Arabidopsis thaliana: one gene and its partners. The protein of the gene in region 1 interacts with the protein of each later gene in a pairwise test. Each region holds a gene or a part of one and is shown in the gene's direction. Other genes may lie near its edges.

Evidence for each region. Proteins that work in one complex are often made in the same cells at the same time.
Region 2: the proteins of PSY (region 1) and AT5G06130 interact in a two-hybrid assay, tested with the Arabidopsis thaliana proteins (one study listed by BioGRID).
Region 3: the proteins of PSY (region 1) and GGPS1 interact in a two-hybrid assay, tested with the Arabidopsis thaliana proteins (one study listed by BioGRID).

Annotation. Positions count from the first base shown.
Region 1 is NC_003076.8:5,657,644-5,666,236, reverse strand, and holds PSY (PHYTOENE SYNTHASE), read left to right. Parts: upstream 1-3,371; 5' UTR 3,372-3,781; exon of another isoform or gene 3,782-3,997; 5' UTR 3,998-4,149; coding exon 4,150-4,594; intron 4,595-4,671; coding exon 4,672-4,722; intron 4,723-4,806; coding exon 4,807-4,851; intron 4,852-5,263; coding exon 5,264-5,436; intron 5,437-5,553; coding exon 5,554-5,789; intron 5,790-5,937; coding exon 5,938-6,130; intron 6,131-6,227; coding exon 6,228-6,398; 3' UTR 6,399-6,624; downstream 6,625-8,593. Other genes in the region: GSTF12 (glutathione S-transferase phi 12), read right to left, coding at 6,915-7,363, 7,449-7,497, 7,563-7,709; AT5G17210 (transmembrane protein, putative (DUF1218)), read right to left, coding at 8,267-8,588. UniProt on the Arabidopsis thaliana protein: Catalyzes the reaction from prephytoene diphosphate to phytoene.
Region 2 is NC_003076.8:1,851,331-1,857,745, reverse strand, and holds AT5G06130 (chaperone protein dnaJ-like protein), read left to right. Parts: upstream 1-1,767; 5' UTR 1,768-1,982; coding exon 1,983-2,185; exon of another isoform or gene 2,186-2,399; coding exon 2,400-2,637; intron 2,638-2,733; coding exon 2,734-2,820; intron 2,821-3,245; coding exon 3,246-3,322; intron 3,323-3,450; coding exon 3,451-3,578; intron 3,579-3,682; coding exon 3,683-3,819; intron 3,820-3,914; coding exon 3,915-3,992; 3' UTR 3,993-4,314; downstream 4,315-6,415. Other genes in the region: SNX1 (sorting nexin 1), read left to right, coding at 122-193, 294-453, 574-707, 844-912, 1,016-1,095, 1,178-1,238, 1,325-1,534; AT5G06120 (ARM repeat superfamily protein), read right to left, coding at 5,145-5,303, 5,372-5,410, 5,509-5,607, 5,701-5,829, 5,954-6,100, 6,265-6,395. UniProt on the Arabidopsis thaliana protein: May be associated with accumulation of carotenoids in chromoplasts.
Region 3 is NC_003075.7:17,341,559-17,346,966, forward strand, and holds GGPS1 (geranylgeranyl pyrophosphate synthase 1), read left to right. Parts: upstream 1-1,815; 5' UTR 1,816-1,954; coding exon 1,955-3,070; 3' UTR 3,071-3,307; downstream 3,308-5,408. Other genes in the region: RCE1 (RUB1 conjugating enzyme 1), read right to left, coding at 1-12, 110-188, 283-391, 479-590; AT4G36820 (calcium uniporter (DUF607)), read left to right, coding at 5,331-5,408. UniProt on the Arabidopsis thaliana protein: Heterodimeric geranyl(geranyl)-diphosphate (GPP) synthase large subunit. In vitro, the large subunit catalyzes mainly the trans-addition of the three molecules of IPP onto DMAPP to form geranylgeranyl pyrophosphate while the small subunit alone is inactive.

The DNA of each region.
Region 1 (8,593 bases):
CATGTGGTGTGTTAGAACTGAATTATTACGCTAAAAACCACAAATATCATGTGGTGGATTGACGTTAGAAAATAAAGGTCGAGTATTTCCTATTTTCTTTAGTTTTTGGATTCGTCTTTCTAGTTGTGGATTGTGTGTACATTTTACAATTAAACATAATATTGATTAAAGAAAGAAATTTTGTTTATCAAATCTGAAATAGCTAATTCCCACTAGAAAATTATTCATAATGATTCGGGGACAGAAAAATAACTATCATTTTGTTAAGTGGTTTGGAAACAAGTCAAAACTTATTTATTATCACTTATATTAACTATGACTTTAGAAAACGAAATACATAATTATTTATCTCCCTGTTGAGAGGTTAAAACTACATTATCATTCTCTACTACATGTATGCGCTATCCGTGTATAATGGGGAGTGTAATACGGGTCCATGACACATCCATTTAGTGTTACGTGGCTGACTCTGTACGTAGCCATTACCGAGTTATTATATTTATATATCACAACTTTTTCTAGACCATTTTAGAAACTAGAGTAACTAAAACTCGTCAGCAGAAATATTTTATATACCAAATTTAAAATATTCAGGGAGGCAAAAAACAAAGAGGAAAAAACACTTGCAGCATTAAGTGACACTACGTGTCGCGCCATGTAACCATGTAACCATGTAAATGGTGACTACGGTCCATTTCTTTGGTACTTTTTATAATAAAACCTTTTTTATTCAGTTATTTACATTATTTGATATAGAAAACGATAAAACTCCATCTCAATTTTATGGGCCACGAAAGATGACACAATTTACGAGTACACGTTTCCATTTACATCTATGTCTCCATCACTCGCCGAACAAATTTTAGTACGTGAAATGTTTGACGAATTGCATCGAACCTTAGTGATATTATCGTGAATTTCAGTGGCAAAGATTATAATTAAAAATGAAGATTTGTAATTTGAAATTGTACATAAACATAAAAATTACAACGTGATTTACAACCACTTAAGTTGGTTTAAATTTTCTTTCGTAACCGAAACATCTCTATCATAAAACTAATGCTTGCTATACGACTACGAGGGTTATGAGACAAGTTTCTATGCATGTTACAGATTGAAATCTTTTAAAGAAAAAAAATTCATGTAAATTGTTTTTTTGATTAATTAGGTTCAACCATGTCTCATCTTTATGTTATTCTCATTCTCCATATATAAATATATTATCCATAAGCTTGGCCGGCTCTCCAACCGTTCTATTAACAATAGCACTAAGCAAGAACTTCAATATGACCACTCTCATTTTCCACCTTCGATCAAGCAACAACACAGCTGAGAAAGTAGCCAAGCTAATTATCACTATCTCTAAACGCTTGTGATTCTAGATTGTACACGTTATAAGTACCAGGATCTATGGAATTAAGTTGAGTAAAAACAAAGAGTGATAGTCACTGACTCAAACAAAAACGTCTTGGTCAGTATATATAACTTACTAAAAAAACAATTAAACTTGTTATACCATTTGAAATTTACTACTCATCAATCATCATGTCTGTTAAATTTTCAGTATATTATAAAAACGCATTTCCATTAAATCAAAGTTAATTATGCCAATTTTCAGTATTCTATTGATAACTCGGGCTAATCCACATCGAAGCTCGACCAAGTCCCATGCATATGGTCTAGGTGATCCTCTAGAACTAGGGCGGTTGACATAAATTTCGTACGAAAACAATACTTTTATCATTCAGTACTAAACCAAAAAAAGCGGTTTCTTTACGAGAGAATGTATTTGAAACAAGATACGGAGAAAATACGGACCAGACTAAAAATAACAAAGGATAAAACCAAAATCAAGAAGAAACTTAAAAGACAAAACCTTCTGAGCGCAAGAGAGAGGGCCAAGTTGCGAAGACAGTATGGGACCCAAATACCGACTAAGCGGAAATCTAACTTTTAACTTTTCCTACCAATGAAACATTGACACGTGGAAAAGCAACGTCGCCCACTTTACCCTCCGCACTTTGAAATCTTTGATAAGCTTATCGCTCTCCCATTGGCCGTAGGCTCCACGTGGCATCTCTCTGATCTCTCTTCTGCTAATCCTTTTTTACCCAAACTGGCATGACCCCACCCCTAAACCCCTATTGTCCTTTCTACCAACAATTACTTAATGACTTATATAATATTCTAATTATATTTTAATTATGTAATTAAATAACTATTGATCCCATCTCCATAGTGACATGTCTCACTTTTTCTTCCACAACAAAATGCGTCACTCTTGATTCATCATGTTCGTAGCAAAATCCACGTTATTACAAAAAACGTTATACATTTTGAAAGGTAATCCATAAAATAGTGAGATGGATCAAGTTTTCTACGCAACCCTCGTAGAATTTTAGCAATGATCCAAAGCTACTGTATATATATAGTTACGTTTCGTAACACAACATGTATTTTACCATGATTATGCCTCTTTTTTTTTTCTTTCCACAACATATATGTATTTACATCCTTATTTGGTTTAGGCTGAGTTTGTTAACATAGCATCACCAATAGGGACAATTTTTTTTTTTATTACAATCTAAATATCTAAAATATAAATTCACATGAAATTAATGTTTCTAATAGAGTTCTTCAATCTTCATGTACAATTGCACATTTTTGTGAAATTATTATTACTTTATCATTTTTTCTTTAAAATTAATTCACCGAGTACCGATAAATGTTTATATTGAATACGATTTAGTAAACGACATATATGTTTCGTCACATTTTTATCACTATTTGTAATATATCTGTTAAATTTGATGATGTAGTTTCTGTTTTTGAATTGAAAACTTACAAAGTTTAGAAAAAAGAATGTAAATTAGAAATAAATACACTTTCTGTATTTTTGAATACTATAATAGGCTAAAATCACATCATTTTCTAATGTTGCTTTAAATAATATATATCAAATAAAGGCTTAAATTACATTTATATAAGAAATATTGTAATACAAATATCAATTTAGAGCTATTAATTTACAATTACAACCTGTTGCCCAATTGATGAATAAATCAAACATGTAATTAACCAAACTTTCTAATTGATCAGGAATCAATTTAGCTAAATAATAAGACATAAATTTGGCCAAGAAAAAGAAGAGAAAACATGTTAAATAGGTAATGGGTTTTAATATTGGGATAGTTACCTTTATTTGAAAACTATTAAGGTTTGATTTAAGACACGAGTCACTCGAGAGTCGCATCTCGCCAGTCAAAAACTAAATTAAAAAACTATATAGACCCAAAAAATAAAAATAACGACTTTTGTATTTATACTGGCAAGATTCTCATTAAAACCCAGCAAAAAAAAAAAAAAAAGACAAAGAAGGAAGAAAATTTGAGTGGGTGAGAATTTTTTACGATAGAGGAAGAGACAGCATCATCTACTTGTGTTGTCTGTGTACATATATTACAGTAAGCGTTGCAATATAACTTCTTGAGGATCTTCTCACATTAATGGGTCAAACCTTTTGCTCTTCCTTTTGATTAATTTAGTGTTTGACAATCTCCTCCTCCTTCTCCTTCTTCTTCAAAGTTTTGTCGCAGTATCTATTGTTCTTACAGAGAGAAAGGTAGGCTTTTGTGTCCATCACTCATTTTCGCTCGTTTGGTTAAGCTTCATCTGCCATGTGGTTCACTGTTTTGATACTTTTGGGCTCTTATACCTAATGTTGATGTAACACAACGATACATAATCTAATTTGTTTTCGAGTGGAAAATAGTTGAACCCAGTTGAGTATTTAGCCAATACGATTAGAGGATTTACTTGTTTTTTCTCTTTTCATGTTCTTCATTTGCTTTTGAAGATCTTCCTCTTTATGTTTGTGTCTCTTCGCTATTTTACTTGCTTGAAGAAATTGAGTTTCTCATCTCGCTTAAATTTGGCTTTATATACAGATTTAGAGATCTCGATTCCTAATCTACTTGTTTTTGTATTCAATTTGCAGGAAAGCTTTAGTCTTTTACCAGTTTGATCCAATTCTGGGTTTCACTGAAAAAAAGTTGGGAGTTTGATTCTTCTAACTGTAGAAGAAACAGAGTCAACAGAAGAAAACTAAAAAAGTTGAGATTTTTCTCTCACGCGCTCAAGAACTTGAGTATGTCTTCTTCTGTAGCAGTGTTATGGGTTGCTACTTCTTCTCTAAATCCAGACCCAATGAACAATTGTGGGTTGGTAAGGGTTCTAGAATCTTCTAGACTGTTCTCTCCTTGTCAGAATCAGAGACTAAACAAAGGTAAGAAGAAGCAGATACCAACTTGGAGTTCTTCTTTTGTAAGGAACCGAAGTAGAAGAATTGGTGTTGTGTCTTCAAGCTTAGTAGCAAGTCCTTCTGGAGAGATAGCTCTTTCATCTGAAGAGAAGGTTTACAATGTTGTGTTGAAACAAGCTGCTTTGGTGAACAAACAGCTAAGGTCTTCTTCTTATGACCTTGATGTGAAGAAACCACAAGATGTTGTTCTTCCTGGGAGTTTGAGTTTGTTGGGTGAAGCTTATGATCGATGCGGTGAAGTTTGCGCTGAATATGCTAAGACGTTTTATCTTGGTATGGATCTTTTTAACTCTTCTTTGGCTTTGGTGTAATGTAGAGTGGTGTTCTGAGTTCTAATGTTTGTGTTGCAGGAACTTTGCTTATGACACCCGAAAGGCGAAAGGCGATTTGGGCAATCTACGGTAAGTTACTGCACAAAACCAATGGTTGAAGAGCTGTTTTAGAATATTTGCATTGTCAACATTGATTATAATTGTAGGATAAAGTGATGCTCAAAGTAGATTTCTACAAACAATCTATTGTGGCTCTTGGTTAGTATCTAGTTAAGTTGTCTTAACAAGAGAAGTTGAAGCTGAAATAGATTCCTTGAATCTTACACTCATGTAGAAAGATAGGTCTCTAGTTAGTTTGTGTGGTTACCTTGTGTCTAAGATAAGTCCATGAACACCAAGCATCCAAATTTGCACCCTTTGAAGATAAAGAATAAAGACCCAAAAAGACTAGCTTAGTTACTAATATGGGTTTGTCCAAAAAAAAAAAAGTTACTAATATGGGTTTTTAATGGGCTTTTTTGGCCCAATGGTCTTAAACTCTGGAGATTTTACTCTAATGACCCCCTGTCTAGGACATACTAGTATCCAAAGCATATGGGGAATTTTAAAGTTGTTTTCTTATATGTTTGATTGGTTTGAATTTGATAGTTTTACTCTGTCTTTTGTGCAGTTTGGTGTAGAAGAACTGATGAACTTGTGGATGGGCCAAATGCTTCACATATAACTCCCATGGCTTTAGATAGATGGGAAGCAAGGTTAGAAGATCTTTTCCGTGGTCGTCCTTTCGATATGCTTGATGCTGCTCTCGCTGATACAGTTGCTAGATACCCGGTCGATATTCAGGTCAGCCTTGCTCTGTCTTATCTTACTTCCTCATTTCATTACATGAGTTAAGAGTTGCATTCAGTCCATTGCAATAAACCTTATAAAACTTTGGTCTAATGTTTATTTATGTTGCAGCCATTTCGAGACATGATCGAAGGAATGAGAATGGACTTGAAGAAATCGAGATACCAGAACTTCGATGATCTATACCTTTACTGCTACTACGTCGCTGGAACCGTCGGATTGATGAGCGTTCCGGTTATGGGAATCGATCCTAAGTCGAAAGCAACAACCGAAAGTGTTTACAACGCTGCCTTGGCCCTTGGTATAGCCAATCAGCTTACTAACATACTCAGAGACGTAGGCGAAGAGTGAGTCTTTTTATATATTTTAAATAGAGCTTTGGTTTCTTGATTTCACATATCTCACTTAAACCGGTTTCTTGATTTCACATGCTTCTTTTAAACCGGTTTCTTGATTCACATATCTCTCTTAAATTGGTTTTGTTCTCACTATCAGTGCGAGAAGAGGAAGGGTTTATCTGCCTCAGGATGAATTGGCTCAGGCTGGTCTTTCAGATGAAGACATATTCGCCGGAAAAGTAACTGATAAATGGAGAAACTTCATGAAAATGCAGCTTAAACGAGCAAGAATGTTCTTCGACGAAGCTGAGAAAGGCGTCACCGAGCTCAGTGCCGCTAGCAGATGGCCTGTAAGTGTCTCTAAAACACTCTTCAGCCGCAAGTTTACCGTTTACTTATTTCTTTTGGATCGATTTTAACCCCGAGGACTTGGCTGCAATGTTTCAGGTATGGGCTTCATTGCTATTGTACAGGAGAATACTGGACGAGATTGAAGCGAATGATTACAACAATTTTACTAAGAGAGCTTATGTGGGGAAAGTCAAGAAAATTGCAGCTTTGCCATTGGCTTATGCTAAATCAGTACTAAAGACTTCAAGTTCAAGACTATCGATATGAGAGCGAGAGGAAAGTGGAACAAAAACAACCTAAGAGCGCTTTTTGTGATTAAGAAAAAACTTAGGCTCGAATTTATTATGTTAACTAATATATACATATTAATGGGGAAGCAAATTCTTATAATGTTACATTATCTTTCTGAATGTAAAAAAGTATTTTTTTTTTTAATTTTATTTTAGTTATAGTTCTCTTGGCCTAATGAGGGGATATACAATTTTTGGTTGATGAAATAATCTTGTGATATACATACAGAAAGAAGTTCTTCTTATATTCGAATAATAGTACAAGTGAGTAACCTTGTATACTATGTAAAAACTCCACTTCTATTTTAACCCCATTTTATATCTCACTCAAAAATAGAGTAAAAACTTAAGAATAGAGAACTATGGTCTTAGCATTGACATGAATCTTAAAAGTATATTGAATTTATTACTGAAACGTACAAAACAACACAAACATAAAACAGAAACTATAAAGCTTATTTGGTTCTTCAGATCATCATAAATTGGAGCTAATTCAGTGACCAGCCAGCACCATAAGCTTCTTCCAAGACGGTCTATCCGAAATCTCTTCCCACCACCGGTTAAAACTACCCCGAGCCTTAACCATCTGGTTTATATCGGTTATACTCATCAAGTACCCCATCGCCGGCATGTGCGTCAAATCAGCCATAGTGAATTCTTCACCAGCCAAAAACCGGTTCGAAGAAAGCCGGTTATTGTATATGTCCAAGACCACTCCTAGCTTCACTTTGAGATCCTCGACCAAAACGACGTCACATTTCTCGCCTAACCTAGGCTTGATGATTAGGTTAATCACGAGGGGTTGGGCCAGAACGTTGAAGTAATAGGTCTCCACGTCAGCCCACTGGTCCACGATGGCTCGGTGCTCTAGAGACTTGCCCAAAAGGTTCGTGCCTTGGTCCGCGAACTTGGTAGCGTAGTATCTCGCGATGGCTCGTGATTCTTAGAAGATAAAGAGCCAAATTTCAAAACACTATAAAGAAAATGATAGAAGAATGTTTATAAAATGTTGTTATTAGGATGTTACCAAAAAGCTTGAAATCTCCATCTTCTATGGCTGGAACTTGACCAAATGGCTACACATGAAAACAATAATTATAATATATTTATGTTTTAAGTTTAAGAAATTTGTTTTTTTTACCTGACGAAGAAGATGTTCTGGTTTTTTTTGCTCAAATGTATCAAGATCGATATGAATAATCTCAAATTCAATTCCTTTCTCGAGAAAACAAAGCAAGACTCTTTGTGGACAAGCTGCTGTTACCTGTCCATATAGTTTCACAACCATTCTATAAGTTTACAATAACTTTGTTACGAATAAGAAAGATTTTACTATATGCACTTATTAATATCTTGTCTATCAAACTGGTTTATAAATGAGAAGAAATGAGAGTAGATGTGTTGGCATTTTATTAGACTCAAGATTTGAAGAAACTGGTTGTTGTGAGGGTTGGGTAGAACATGTGGTGGTTGTTCCTCTAACGGTGGATATGTATCATTGAAATTTCTCTACAAACTTTTAGTTCCAACTATCAATAACAAAGTTCCCTTGTTTGGGAATAAAATTTCGATTACTATATATCGCTATCGAATTTTTGTTGTAAATGAGACGAACACTTCTCTTCCCAACAACCACTTTTGACTTGCATAATAAATAAGAAAGATTCAGAGAAAAAAACTACAAAACTAAGTGACGTTTTTGGGGTTCTCAAAGATTTCTACTTCAATCAAGAATAACAATCATTACAAAGTTTCAATACTCTTAATCAAACACATATCCGTTAATCATTTTGTCTAAATCTTCTACTAAACCTAACGTGCTTTACAAGCAAGCTTTGTCTGTTTTTAAGTGAACTGTCTTCTCATGTAAGTATCCTCATGAACAAAAACAGGATCTTCTACTCTCTCTGGAATCTGAGGCTGCCCCATTGCTATTCCTGTTCCTTGGGTCGTTGTGGCAGCAACAATTTGCTTATTTGAAGTCAAACATAAATAGTAGACAATCCCAAGGGCAATAGTAACAAGCGAAAGCACAGCACCGGTAGAGAAAACGCCTGGTTTCACTATGTAGCAAAAGTAGGTACCAGCATTCATTGATTCCTCGGTGTGTTCATCGTTGAGTGCAGCTCCAGAAAGCAGCACGAGGAAAGCTATTACAAAAGTGAACCTATA
Region 2 (6,415 bases), 3.8 Mb from region 1:
TACTACATCATCTTCACATAAAAATGCTCGTAGAATGCTTCTTCTTTTTTCCTACTGGAAGGACTGCAATTTGCATATTAGAAGGTTCTTGTCTCTAATGACAGTTTACTTTTCTCGTCAGACAATGGACAGATTCAGGTTTCAGGAAACTAGTATATTCAAGAAGCCTGCAGATCTAATGCAAATGTTTAGGGTAAGAATGTTTTTTCTGACCATGTAAATATTATTTTTCTGCTCTTTATTGACCTTTGTGGTGCGCCATCATCTTACTGCCATATCTGCACTATTGACAGGATGTCCAGTCAAAAGTTAGTGATGCTGTCCTTGGAAAAGAAAAACCTGTTGAAGAAACTACTGCTGACTACGAGAAGCTTAAACATTACATTTTCGAGCTTGAGAACCACTTGACTGAGGCTCAGAAGCATGCGTATCGCCTAGTCAAGAGGCATAGAGGTAATAAAAATATCACAAATCAGAATTTAGTCTATATAAATTCTGTTATGTTTTCTGTTTTCTCTTTCCCAACCGCATGAATGGATCTTCAGTTTTAATGCTGTATCAACCTATTGGCAGAGTTGGGTCAATCACTGTTGGATTTTGGCAAGGCTGTAAAACTTCTTGGGGCTTGTGAGGGTGAACCTACAGGAAAAGCATTTTCCGATCTTGGAACTAAATCTGAACTGTTATCGATTAAGCTCCAGAAAGAGGTATTAAGTTTGTAAGACTAGATCATCTTCTTCTTTTTTTCTAAATCATTATAGTAAGAAATGTATATATCTTGGCGAAATTCATCTATTCTATATTCCTAGATGCTTTTATTGACCTATCTTGCACTATTTGTAGGCTCAACAAGTCCTGATGAACTTCGAGGAACCCTTGAAGGACTATGTTCGTTATGTACAATCGATTAAGGTGAGTTCTCTAGCCTTTGCCTGTGGGATTGATTTCTCTTTCATGGTTTCGTTTTGCTGGTACTAAACTCTTACCTTTTTGTTTCCATATTTTGCTTTTCCAGGCAACAATAGCAGAACGAGGCACTGCTTTCAAACAACATTGTGAATTGTCAGAAACAACAAAGTTAAAAGAAATAAATCTGTATGATGGCTTCTCTCCCTTTTTGTCTTCTCTGTCAACAATCGTCGTAGAACATTATAGAAATTCTCGTCTGTTATTGTAGTGACAAACTCATGCTCACACGTTCAGACAAAGTAGGAGAAGCTGAGATCGAATACAGAGAGGTAAGAAGAACTCAAAACAATCCTTGAAAATTTTGTAGTAATGCTTTTGGGTGCTTGAACTTGTGGTGTATACCGCAACAATGCAGATAAAAGCAGAAAGTGAGGAAGCCACGAGAAGATTTGAGAGGATAGTAAAGAGAATGGAAGATGAGATAGTAAGGTTTCAAGAGCAGAAGACGGAAGAGATGGGAGTGGCATTCCATCAGTTTGCGAAAGGACAAGCTCGCTTAGCAAACAGTGTCGCGGATGCTTGGAGATCCCTTCTTCCCAAACTTGAAGCTTCTTATTCTGTCTAAATCCAAAACTAAACTTACCTGTGTCTGTGTGTGTTCCTTCATGAGAGGGTTTGTGTCTAGAGGCAGTTTGTTTTTGTGAGAAATTCTGGTGTTTTTTTGTCAACTTCAAGTTTAGTTAACTTGGCTTGTTTCCACTTGTAAAGAAGATACATATGCGTCATTATTACTCTCCTAAACGTTCATATAACAATTTTATTTTAGATTACAACTTTCCCAATTCACTAACATGATACTGCTAGTATATTGAATCTTCTTATGTTGGATGCTGCAGATCACAACTGTGTCATTTTAAGATATGTTGCTGGTTCGGTTAGAGTTTGTTTAGGCCTAACTTTTAGCCCAAAATGGTAACCTTCGTAGTGATCGGAGGGTTCCAAAAAGTTGCAATAACTTAAAAAAATTATCCGAAGAAGACGATAGACAGCAAAAAGCGTTGGGCGAGAAGAAGATGACGTGCTTCTCTTCTGCTACTCCTCATCGCCATCATCTTCTACTTTCTTCTCCATCTACTTCCAAATCCCTGCTTCGATTTCCCTCATCTTATCTGAAACCTAGCCCCAGTCTTCTCTTCCATGGCTCATCTCGCTCTCTCCTCTCCTGTTCAGACGGCAGCAACAACCGTCCTCCTCCCTCCGGTGACACCGTCCCAAAGCAAGTTCCTCTGATTTCTTCCTTTATTGATGAATTCTAGGTTTCATCTTCAAATTTCACCTGGGTTTGGCCAAATCGATATCTATTGTTTGAGAGCTCGATTAGTGATTAAGTGGGAGCCTTGTAGCTATGTATATGATCTATAGCGTGTATAACGATTATCATTTTGATTCTAACTGGTAATAGATTATTTGTTTGGTGGATATTGTTTCAGTAACTTCTGTATCATTGAGGGATCAGAGACAGTTCAAGACTTTGTGCAGATGCAGCTTCAGGAAATCCAAGATAACATAAGGAGTAGACGCAATAAGATATTTCTCCTCATGGAGGAAGTGAGGAGGTTACGTGTGCAGCAACGTATCAAGAGTGTTAAAGCCATCAATGAGGACAGTGAGCTCGAGGCTACCGAGATGCCTGAGATCACATCTTCTATTCCTTTCCTCCCTAATGTGGTCAGTTACAAATTATGAAACGGTCTCTTGTTCAGTTTTTGATATTCCCTTCTGTTTTAACTCTTCTTTGTCTCTGCTTCTTATCTTTTGATATAGACACCAAAGACTTTGAAACAACTCTATTCGACCAGCGTTGCATTGATATCGGGAATTATCTTCTTTGGTGGTCTCATTGCACCTAATGTAAGTACAAGAGTAGTAGACTCCACGTTTCTTTCTTTATGTTCGCCTATAGCAATATCAAAGCTCTAGATTTTGTTTGAGTTAATATGCTTTTCACACAGTCATCTCAGTTTACTGCAGCTCTTAGAACCCTACTAATCTTACAACAATGCACGAGAGCTCTTTAAAATATATGCATTTACTTTCCTGGCTATATTTTGCAGGATCCATCAAGTTATTAGTGATGCAACAACAATGGCACATTAATCTAAATATACTTGCTTTTTGTTGATAGCAACAGATTGTGGAGATTACTATTTTTCCTTCTTTGTGATGTATACAGTTTTTTGGTTTTTTATTGAGTTACTGTAACTTTACCAGAAGAACAATAGCTATTCTTGTTTTTTCTAATCCTTGAATGATAAATTGATGATTTTACATGGCAGCTGGAACTGAAGGTAGGACTTGGAGGAACCTCTTATGAAGATTTTATAAGGAGCTTACATCTACCCTTGCAATTAAGGTACTACTACTAGTTCAGTAGCTTGAAGACTAATATGATTGAAAACATAGTCAAACTAGTCAACTTTACTTGTCCTGAATCTGAAACAGCGACATTGATTTTTTTTTTTTTTTTGTTCTGTAATGTAGCCAGGTAGATCCAATTGTGGCATCTTTTTCTGGCGGGGCCGTGGGAGTCATTTCAACCTTGATGCTAATCGAAGTTAACAATGTTAAACAACAAGAGAAGAAGAGGTGCAAATACTGCCTTGGGACTGGTAATTTTATTGTATATATCATGAAAATTCTTGATTTTTTCTTCGAATTACTTCTCAAAATGAGTTGGAGAAATGCTCACTGGTCTGTGTTCACATGATAATAGGATACTTGCCATGCGCTCGATGCTCAGCTAGTGGTGTGTGTTTGAGCATTGATCCCATCACAAGACCTAGAGCTACAAACCAGCTTATGCAGGTCGCGACCACAAAAAGATGTCTAAATTGTTCCGGCGCAGGAAAGGTAAGATTCTCTCTATTTCATGCAATCTGATCTGAGTATTATATAATTCATTGTTGTCCTTGTAATGTTGAAATGTGTATTTGTATATGAATCAGGTGATGTGTCCGACATGTCTTTGCACCGGGATGGTAACAGCTAGCGAGCATGACCCCCGCTTTGACCCTTTCGATTAGAAAACAATGGCCTCCTTTGAAATTGGTCCTTGCAAAAGCTAAGCCAAGCCTATGAGAACTGAGGAGAGCCAAACCTCGTCATATAAATGTTTTACATAATAAAAGTAATTACATAATAAAAGTAACATTAGAATTTTTAACTTTTGTCTATAGTAAACATGGGAAAGTATCGGTTATGTAAAGTACTTCTTCACAAACTAAAAAAATTCACCAGATGATCTCCGGTGAAGATAATAGGATATATAGTAGCCATCAACTCCGTCATCATAAGCTGTCTTGTTGTATTTACACTTCGATTATTAATTCACAAACTTTCTTGCCAACCGGATAATGTAGGTTAATTCATTACAAATCGATGTGTAAATACAACAAGACAGTTTGGCCGAGTGGTCTAAGGCGCCAGATTTAGGCTCTGGTCCGAAAGGGCGTGGGTTCAAATCCCACAGCTGTCAATTATTTTACTATTTTAAAGAATTCTTTTGTATTAAAAAAGTGCCAAATGACTACAGCGTCCTCATGGAAACCCTAATTTATAAGAAATTATCGCCGGCAATTTCTTCCTTTGTGTTACATCAAGCCCTCGCTGAAGAAGAACATTTTGAATAAACTCCCTAATTTTCAAGATTTGTGTTATATATTCCTTGTGTAAAGTTTTTTTTTTCATTTTCGAAAGCCATCTATGTTGTGGTATGCAGTAATGCAAGAGTTACTGTATGAGCAATATAGGCTAATAAATACTAGAGAGTTATACGAAAATCCAGACAATAAACAAAACAAATACTGCATTTTCTTTCAGATTTGTTTACCATTACAAAGAATATGTGACCTAACTGCTCCCAACATTTGCAAAAGTAAACCCTAGATTTCAATGTTTTACATCAACCTTGTTATGGGGCTGACAAGAGACAAAATAAATCCCAATGATGAATTAAGCCACAATTGCGAGGAAACCACCAAAACGTAAATCTTTCTTCATATTACCCTTTCTTCTGAGAGAATAAAGAAACTGTACAGTACCACAATCTCGAGACTACTTTTTTGTTTTTCCATTTTTTAACTTCTGAAGATTTCTGGTTCACTGTGTCATGTGGGTCTTTTTGATGAGACCCCTAATGTAGTAGACTGTGGCTCAGGGACTGTGTTTGGCCGATTTTATTTAACGCGGAACTCGTGTCTGAAAAGGGTCAAGTTCTGAGTGAACTTGTCTCTGTTCTTTGAATCTAATCCCCGCGATATGTCTGTCATAAGACTGTCAAAGCAGGCAGAGAGTCGCTGGTGTTGATCCGCAGGCTGCACCATTAGAATAATGCTCTAAGGCATACACAAAAAGCAACACTCAGGGGTAAAATATATATAGATATAGAATTTTGGATCATCACCTGTGATGAGAGGATCTTAGCTTTCAGATCAGAGAAAATCTGGGGAAATCAATTGAAATAAGTTAGATGAATGAACAACAAAGCTCATTCGGAACAGAAAACTGCACAAGAGAGATAAATGTATAAATTACACATACCTGCTCACTTATAAGAATCAAGCTTAACATTGGTCTGCTGAGACTCCACTGATTGCCACAATCCTCGAATAAAACTATTTCAAACAGTGTCTTCAATATCTGCTTGTAAGAGGATATTTGTTAAAAGGCATTATAGCCCATCATTATTGTGTTCAATTTAACAAAGAGAGATTGAGGAGTGTAATGAGTTACCTCGGGGAACAAACTCGGACAGTCTGCAATGTGCTGTGCAAAACGAATAGCAGCTGGAGTAGTAGGTGCCTCACCCATTGTGATGTTATTGAAATAATATGAAGCAAGATTGTCGACAGCTATTGCACACTGAAAGGATAATAGATATCAATGCTTCAGAAAGTTGCATTTCGAGGAATATCTTTTGCAGCTTAAAGCTTTAAGAATTTCTTGATAAATTGATGTGTCTTAACAGTTTTGTCACAATTCTCACCTGTGATGAAATACTTGTGTCCAACCCCTTGAGTCCAGATTCAAGGGAACCTACGAGATGCATAAAGGTTGCAGTGTCCAGTTTCAATATGAAGGTAATATGACTGGCACACAAAACCTCGACGAACCCAAAGTATGCCTTTGTAAGCTGAAGGATGAAAGGAAGACTATAAAGATTAGAGATTTTATAACGACAAAGAAAGAATTCAGAGTAAACATAATTCAGATAATGCAAACAATATCAAAAACGTGTTGATTTGATCACCAAATGAAATTATTGGAGGCACGTGGAAAACGCAATGCCACACATACCTTGCGATATGCTAATATATCTGCCAAGGGTATTGCAAGGGTCATCTTCAACGCAATATCAAGTGCATCCGCAAGAGCCCGGTCACCATAAAGTTCAAAGACACCGAAGTTGCAATAATTTCCCGAGAGCGCTGCCCATTAGATGATGGTT
Region 3 (5,408 bases), on another chromosome or scaffold:
GGGATGATAAACCTAAACAAGAAAACCAACAAAGAGTTTCTACAACACAAACGATTTTGAAGTAGAAGCTGTAAACTATATAAGGCATGTAAAAGGAGGAGAGGCCTACCTTGGTTTTGCATTTAACTTTTGGAGCTTCATGTGGATACACAGGAGAGACTTGGAATGTGAAAACAAACGTACCATTGCTGTTTATTTGGTAAGAAAGAAACAAATAAGTTTCCAAAAAGTTTTTAAGAGACAAAAACGCAGGTTTCAGTGGGAAAAAAAGCACTACTTAACTGGTAATATCCATCATCAGGTTTAATGGATACTTCAAAGTTCATCAAATCATCTTTGCCATTTGGAAAAGATATTGAACAAGAGCTAGGAAGGTTCAACTCTGATATATCTGCACAGTTCAAAATCGGAAAAAACACCAAAAATTGAAACTTGGAGATGCAAGAACAAAAAAAAGATCAACAAGGCATTTATATACCTTTGTGAAGACGAAGTTCGCCAGCAGATTGCTTCTTAACAGAAGCTCCTCCTCTAGTAGCATTTTGAGCTTGTTCTCTTTGCTTTTCCTTTACTTTAAACAACCCAATCATTGTTTCTGACTTCTCTTAAGAAACTCACACCCACACACACAGCTGTGACAAATCAAAGAATGAATGATTAATTCTATGACAGATCAAAGAAGACCTTAAAAAATCGATCCTTTCGATATATCAAATCACAACTGCAACTAAACTCATATGCCCACTTTTATATTAATCTTGGTAACATAGCTTATTAGACTTTCACACAATAATTGAATCCCAAATCATAAGATCCCTAAAACAAAGCTATAACCAAAATCTCAGAAATGAAAACGCGTTATTACAAGACAAGCTAATCTACTTTAACAGGTTCAAAGATCGAAGACTTTCCTTCCACATAAGTAGAATCAGAAATCTCAAAACAACGACTAGGTCGAAACATCGAAAGTTAAACACCAAGACAATCAAACAAAGAGAATGAAGGAAGAAGAAGAAGAAGCTTACAAGTTGTTAAATTCGTTGCAAAAACACGAAAATCAAAACGAATTACGAGCGAATTAAAAAGGTCGCCGATTGATTAATCTCTCTCTCTCGCCTACCGGATTGTCGTCCTCTGAAGCTAAACGACGAAGAAACAGCAGAGAAATGGTTGCAATAATAATAAACACACAATCGTAGCTTTTTTCTCGACGCTGAATCAGAATAATTCAAAAATCTCGTACCTGTTTGTTGAGTTCCAGCTTGGCCCATTAAAGCCCGTTAGGCCCATTTCAGTTATATCTATCTTCCAACAATAAATTTGGTAGTTTGCGCGCTTTTAATAAGTTAAAACCAAGCAGTTGTCAGAGATCAACGAGCTCGTGTAAAATGTCCACAAGTGGGACTTGTGACCCGTATGCATTTTTTATGCCATTTTTACTAATTTCGTGTAACAAATCTACAAAACAAGATAATCATTAATCACTACGTAATCATCTAAATTCAATGTGTGGTATAGAAAAAAATAACAGATGAGATTTATGTGTTTAAGATTTTGATATTTTACCAAAACAACAATAGTATATATTTGTGGTATAGAATTGAAAATAAAAAGAAAAAAATCTAAAAAACTGACAAGTAATTTATCTGTAATCTAAGCCAGAAAAATATCATCTTTATGCTATAAAAACATTTTCCATGGACTTAAAAACAATAAAACAAAAACAGTGAAAAAAGAAAAAAGATGCTTTTCAATAAAAGTGAAGATCGTCATCTCCACCACTAACAAGGCCCATTCCGTAACACAACCCTATCTGTTACTTCCTAGCTTCTCACTAATGGCCAATCCAATTCTCCATTCATAATTTTGACTCCACTTTCCAAAAAAAACAAAAAAAAATAAATACTAATATAAAAAATTCTCAAATCTAAAATTTCAGATTTCAGAAATCGCCATGGCTTCAGTGACTCTAGGTTCATGGATTGTTGTTCACCACCACAATCATCATCATCCATCTTCAATCCTTACCAAATCCAGATCCAGATCTTGTCCTATAACTCTTACTAAACCCATCTCCTTTCGATCAAAACGCACCGTTTCATCATCTTCTTCAATCGTTTCTTCTTCCGTTGTTACAAAAGAAGACAATCTACGCCAATCTGAACCATCCTCTTTCGATTTCATGTCGTACATCATCACCAAAGCCGAATTAGTCAACAAAGCTTTAGATTCAGCTGTTCCTCTCCGTGAGCCACTCAAGATCCACGAAGCGATGCGTTACTCTCTTCTCGCCGGTGGCAAAAGAGTTAGACCAGTTCTCTGCATCGCTGCTTGTGAACTCGTCGGAGGTGAAGAATCAACCGCTATGCCAGCAGCTTGCGCCGTCGAGATGATTCACACCATGTCGTTGATCCACGACGATCTCCCTTGTATGGATAACGACGATCTCCGCCGTGGAAAACCGACCAACCACAAAGTGTTTGGTGAAGACGTCGCTGTTTTAGCCGGAGACGCGCTTCTCTCTTTCGCTTTCGAGCATTTAGCTTCGGCGACGAGTTCTGATGTTGTTTCTCCGGTGAGAGTGGTTCGAGCCGTTGGAGAATTGGCTAAAGCGATAGGAACAGAAGGGTTAGTGGCGGGTCAAGTCGTGGATATTAGTAGTGAAGGGTTAGATTTAAACGACGTCGGTTTAGAGCATTTGGAGTTTATCCATTTGCATAAAACGGCGGCGTTGCTTGAAGCTTCTGCTGTTTTGGGAGCTATTGTTGGTGGAGGAAGTGATGATGAGATTGAGAGGTTAAGAAAGTTTGCGAGATGTATTGGTTTGTTGTTTCAGGTGGTTGATGATATCTTGGATGTGACGAAATCGTCGAAAGAGTTAGGGAAAACTGCTGGGAAAGATTTGATTGCTGATAAGTTGACGTATCCTAAGATTATGGGTTTGGAGAAATCGAGAGAGTTTGCTGAGAAATTGAATAGAGAGGCTCGTGATCAGCTTTTAGGGTTTGATTCTGATAAGGTTGCTCCTTTGTTGGCTTTGGCTAATTACATTGCCTATAGACAGAACTGATTTGTGTTCGATTCCTTTTGTCGGGAATCATTATTAGATTGGAATTGTAGAAATCTCGGACAGGTTCTCTAGAGTTTGTTGGTGTAATCATCTCTATGTTTTCATGTACTAAAAAATTTGGATAGTAATGGATGAAATATGAAGAGGTTCATGTGTCTGTAATAGAGTCCCTGGTTGGTTTCAGTCTTTTTGAGTATTAAACTCTCTGTTCTTTTGGCTCGTATTTGTAATGATGAACAATGTGTTTTAGGACAGGAACTCTGGTTGGATCTGATAGATTCGCTAGTTCTTGCCTTATTGGTGTTCAGATTAGTTATCCAAAGGTACGGCGTTGTTTTGGGGCGTAAAACCAATCAAGTCAACGGAGCATACAGAGTTTAAGATGGACCGAGGCGAATACAATACATTAATAATTATTACTATATGTTTCTTGAATGGGCCAATCTCATTTGTTGGTTCCCAAATTAAAAAGCCCAATCCAAAAACAGAGTTCCAAAAAGCCCATTTAATTCTGCTTAGTACCATTTTATTCTGCTTATTCGAAGTCTTATTCTAGCTGGCACCAACAATTTTTATTTTTATTTTATGGCTTTTTCATCGTGAAAATCACTTATTGAATAGCAAACTACTGTTAGTTCGAAATCTGATATATATATATATATATATATATATTTTTTTTTTTTTGGAACTGACTATGATTATAACTTCTAATTAAGTCTTAAGTCTATAATCTTCGAGAATCATCAAAAAATGGCAACTTCAGTTGAATAAAATATGCCACCAACCTAAAACCATATACATCGATTCACCAACTCTCTTATTGGAATCAATGCGATATTCGATCTCAATCTTGTTGTACGATCGACTTCTGCATAGGATTTGCTACATTTGCTCCGTACACAACTTGCCGTTTTATTTATTTATTTAAAATCAATTTTTTACTCATATAAGTAATAAAATTTTATGGTGTATAATCAATGTGTAATGGCTTCCGTTCTTTTCGGAATATCCGTGTCTTGTGGTGTTGGTACAGGTAGCGTGAAAAATTTAGGATTTTTATTCTCACTTTCTTAATAATATCTTTCATTTTTTTTTTTTTGTGAATCTATGTTTTCAGTTCATTTCCTATTCATATATGCCATGTGCTGATGTGCATAGATTCGTCTAATAAGAATATCACATTATAAAAAATATTCTAACGTACGTGAAAATTAGATGTACCAAAATGGTTTATGTGATGTCTCATGTCTTAATTAGACCGAGATAATCGTTGAGTCGGAACTATGTAGTATAAAATAAGTTTGTTGACATAGCAAGGCATATTTAAACAGGGTTTACATGATCTTGATTTAAACACACACTAAATTTTTATTATCTCCATCACCATCAAATTTGAATCAGCAGTACAACCAAGATAACATGTATTTGGATTTAAACGTAAATATCAGGTTTATCATTTTAATTCTACGTGTTTATAAATTATAGAGAAAATTATATTTTAATTCTACGTGTTTATCATTAATTTTATTATTTATTTTTTCAACATGTTTATCCGGTGATGCTATTTTGAAAAACAAATTTGTAGATAAAACAGAAAATGTGGCGACACGTCCGTGTGTTTAAATTTACTGAATTACCTAACCAGACACAGTAGTTACATCCACATTACATCACATTTGTTATCTCTTTATTAGGTGTGCAAAGGATAAAAACGAAAAATGTGGCAACACGTCATTGTTTCAAATATTTACTAAGTTTTCCTTATATAGACATTATTACATCTCAAAAAATCATCTCTTCAACATTACCATTTACTACTAGATGCAAGAGATAATAACAAGATAAAACAGAAAATGTGGCGACACGTTTTTGCCTTTCTTTTTAATTCTGTTGTGTAATTTACTCATAGTCAAATAAGTTATCAAGATATTATATCTTTTTAAAATTTAATCGGACGGTTATTGAGGCATCGAAAGCTATCACCAACATAAATCTATCCACGTGGACGGTAGTCACCTATCAATATTCACGAAAAGGCAGCGTTTATTGAATTTCTCGTGATATATCTGCTGACGTGTATAAGGCCCCACAAGATTTATGTTAAACGTAAAATTAAAACTGTAACAGAGAACTTTGGTTACCTATATAAAGCTCGCTCTTGCTGTTTCATTTTTTCAAGTAGTAACTGAAATCGAATTCATTTTCTTCTCTTCCTTTCTGGGATTTCGATTTTTCGTATTTTTTTTTTGTTCTGTTCGTCATGGTGATGATGAAGAAGCTTTTGTCGAACCGTTTGTTCAATATGTCAAAAACGGCGTCGCAAAGTCTCATGAACTGT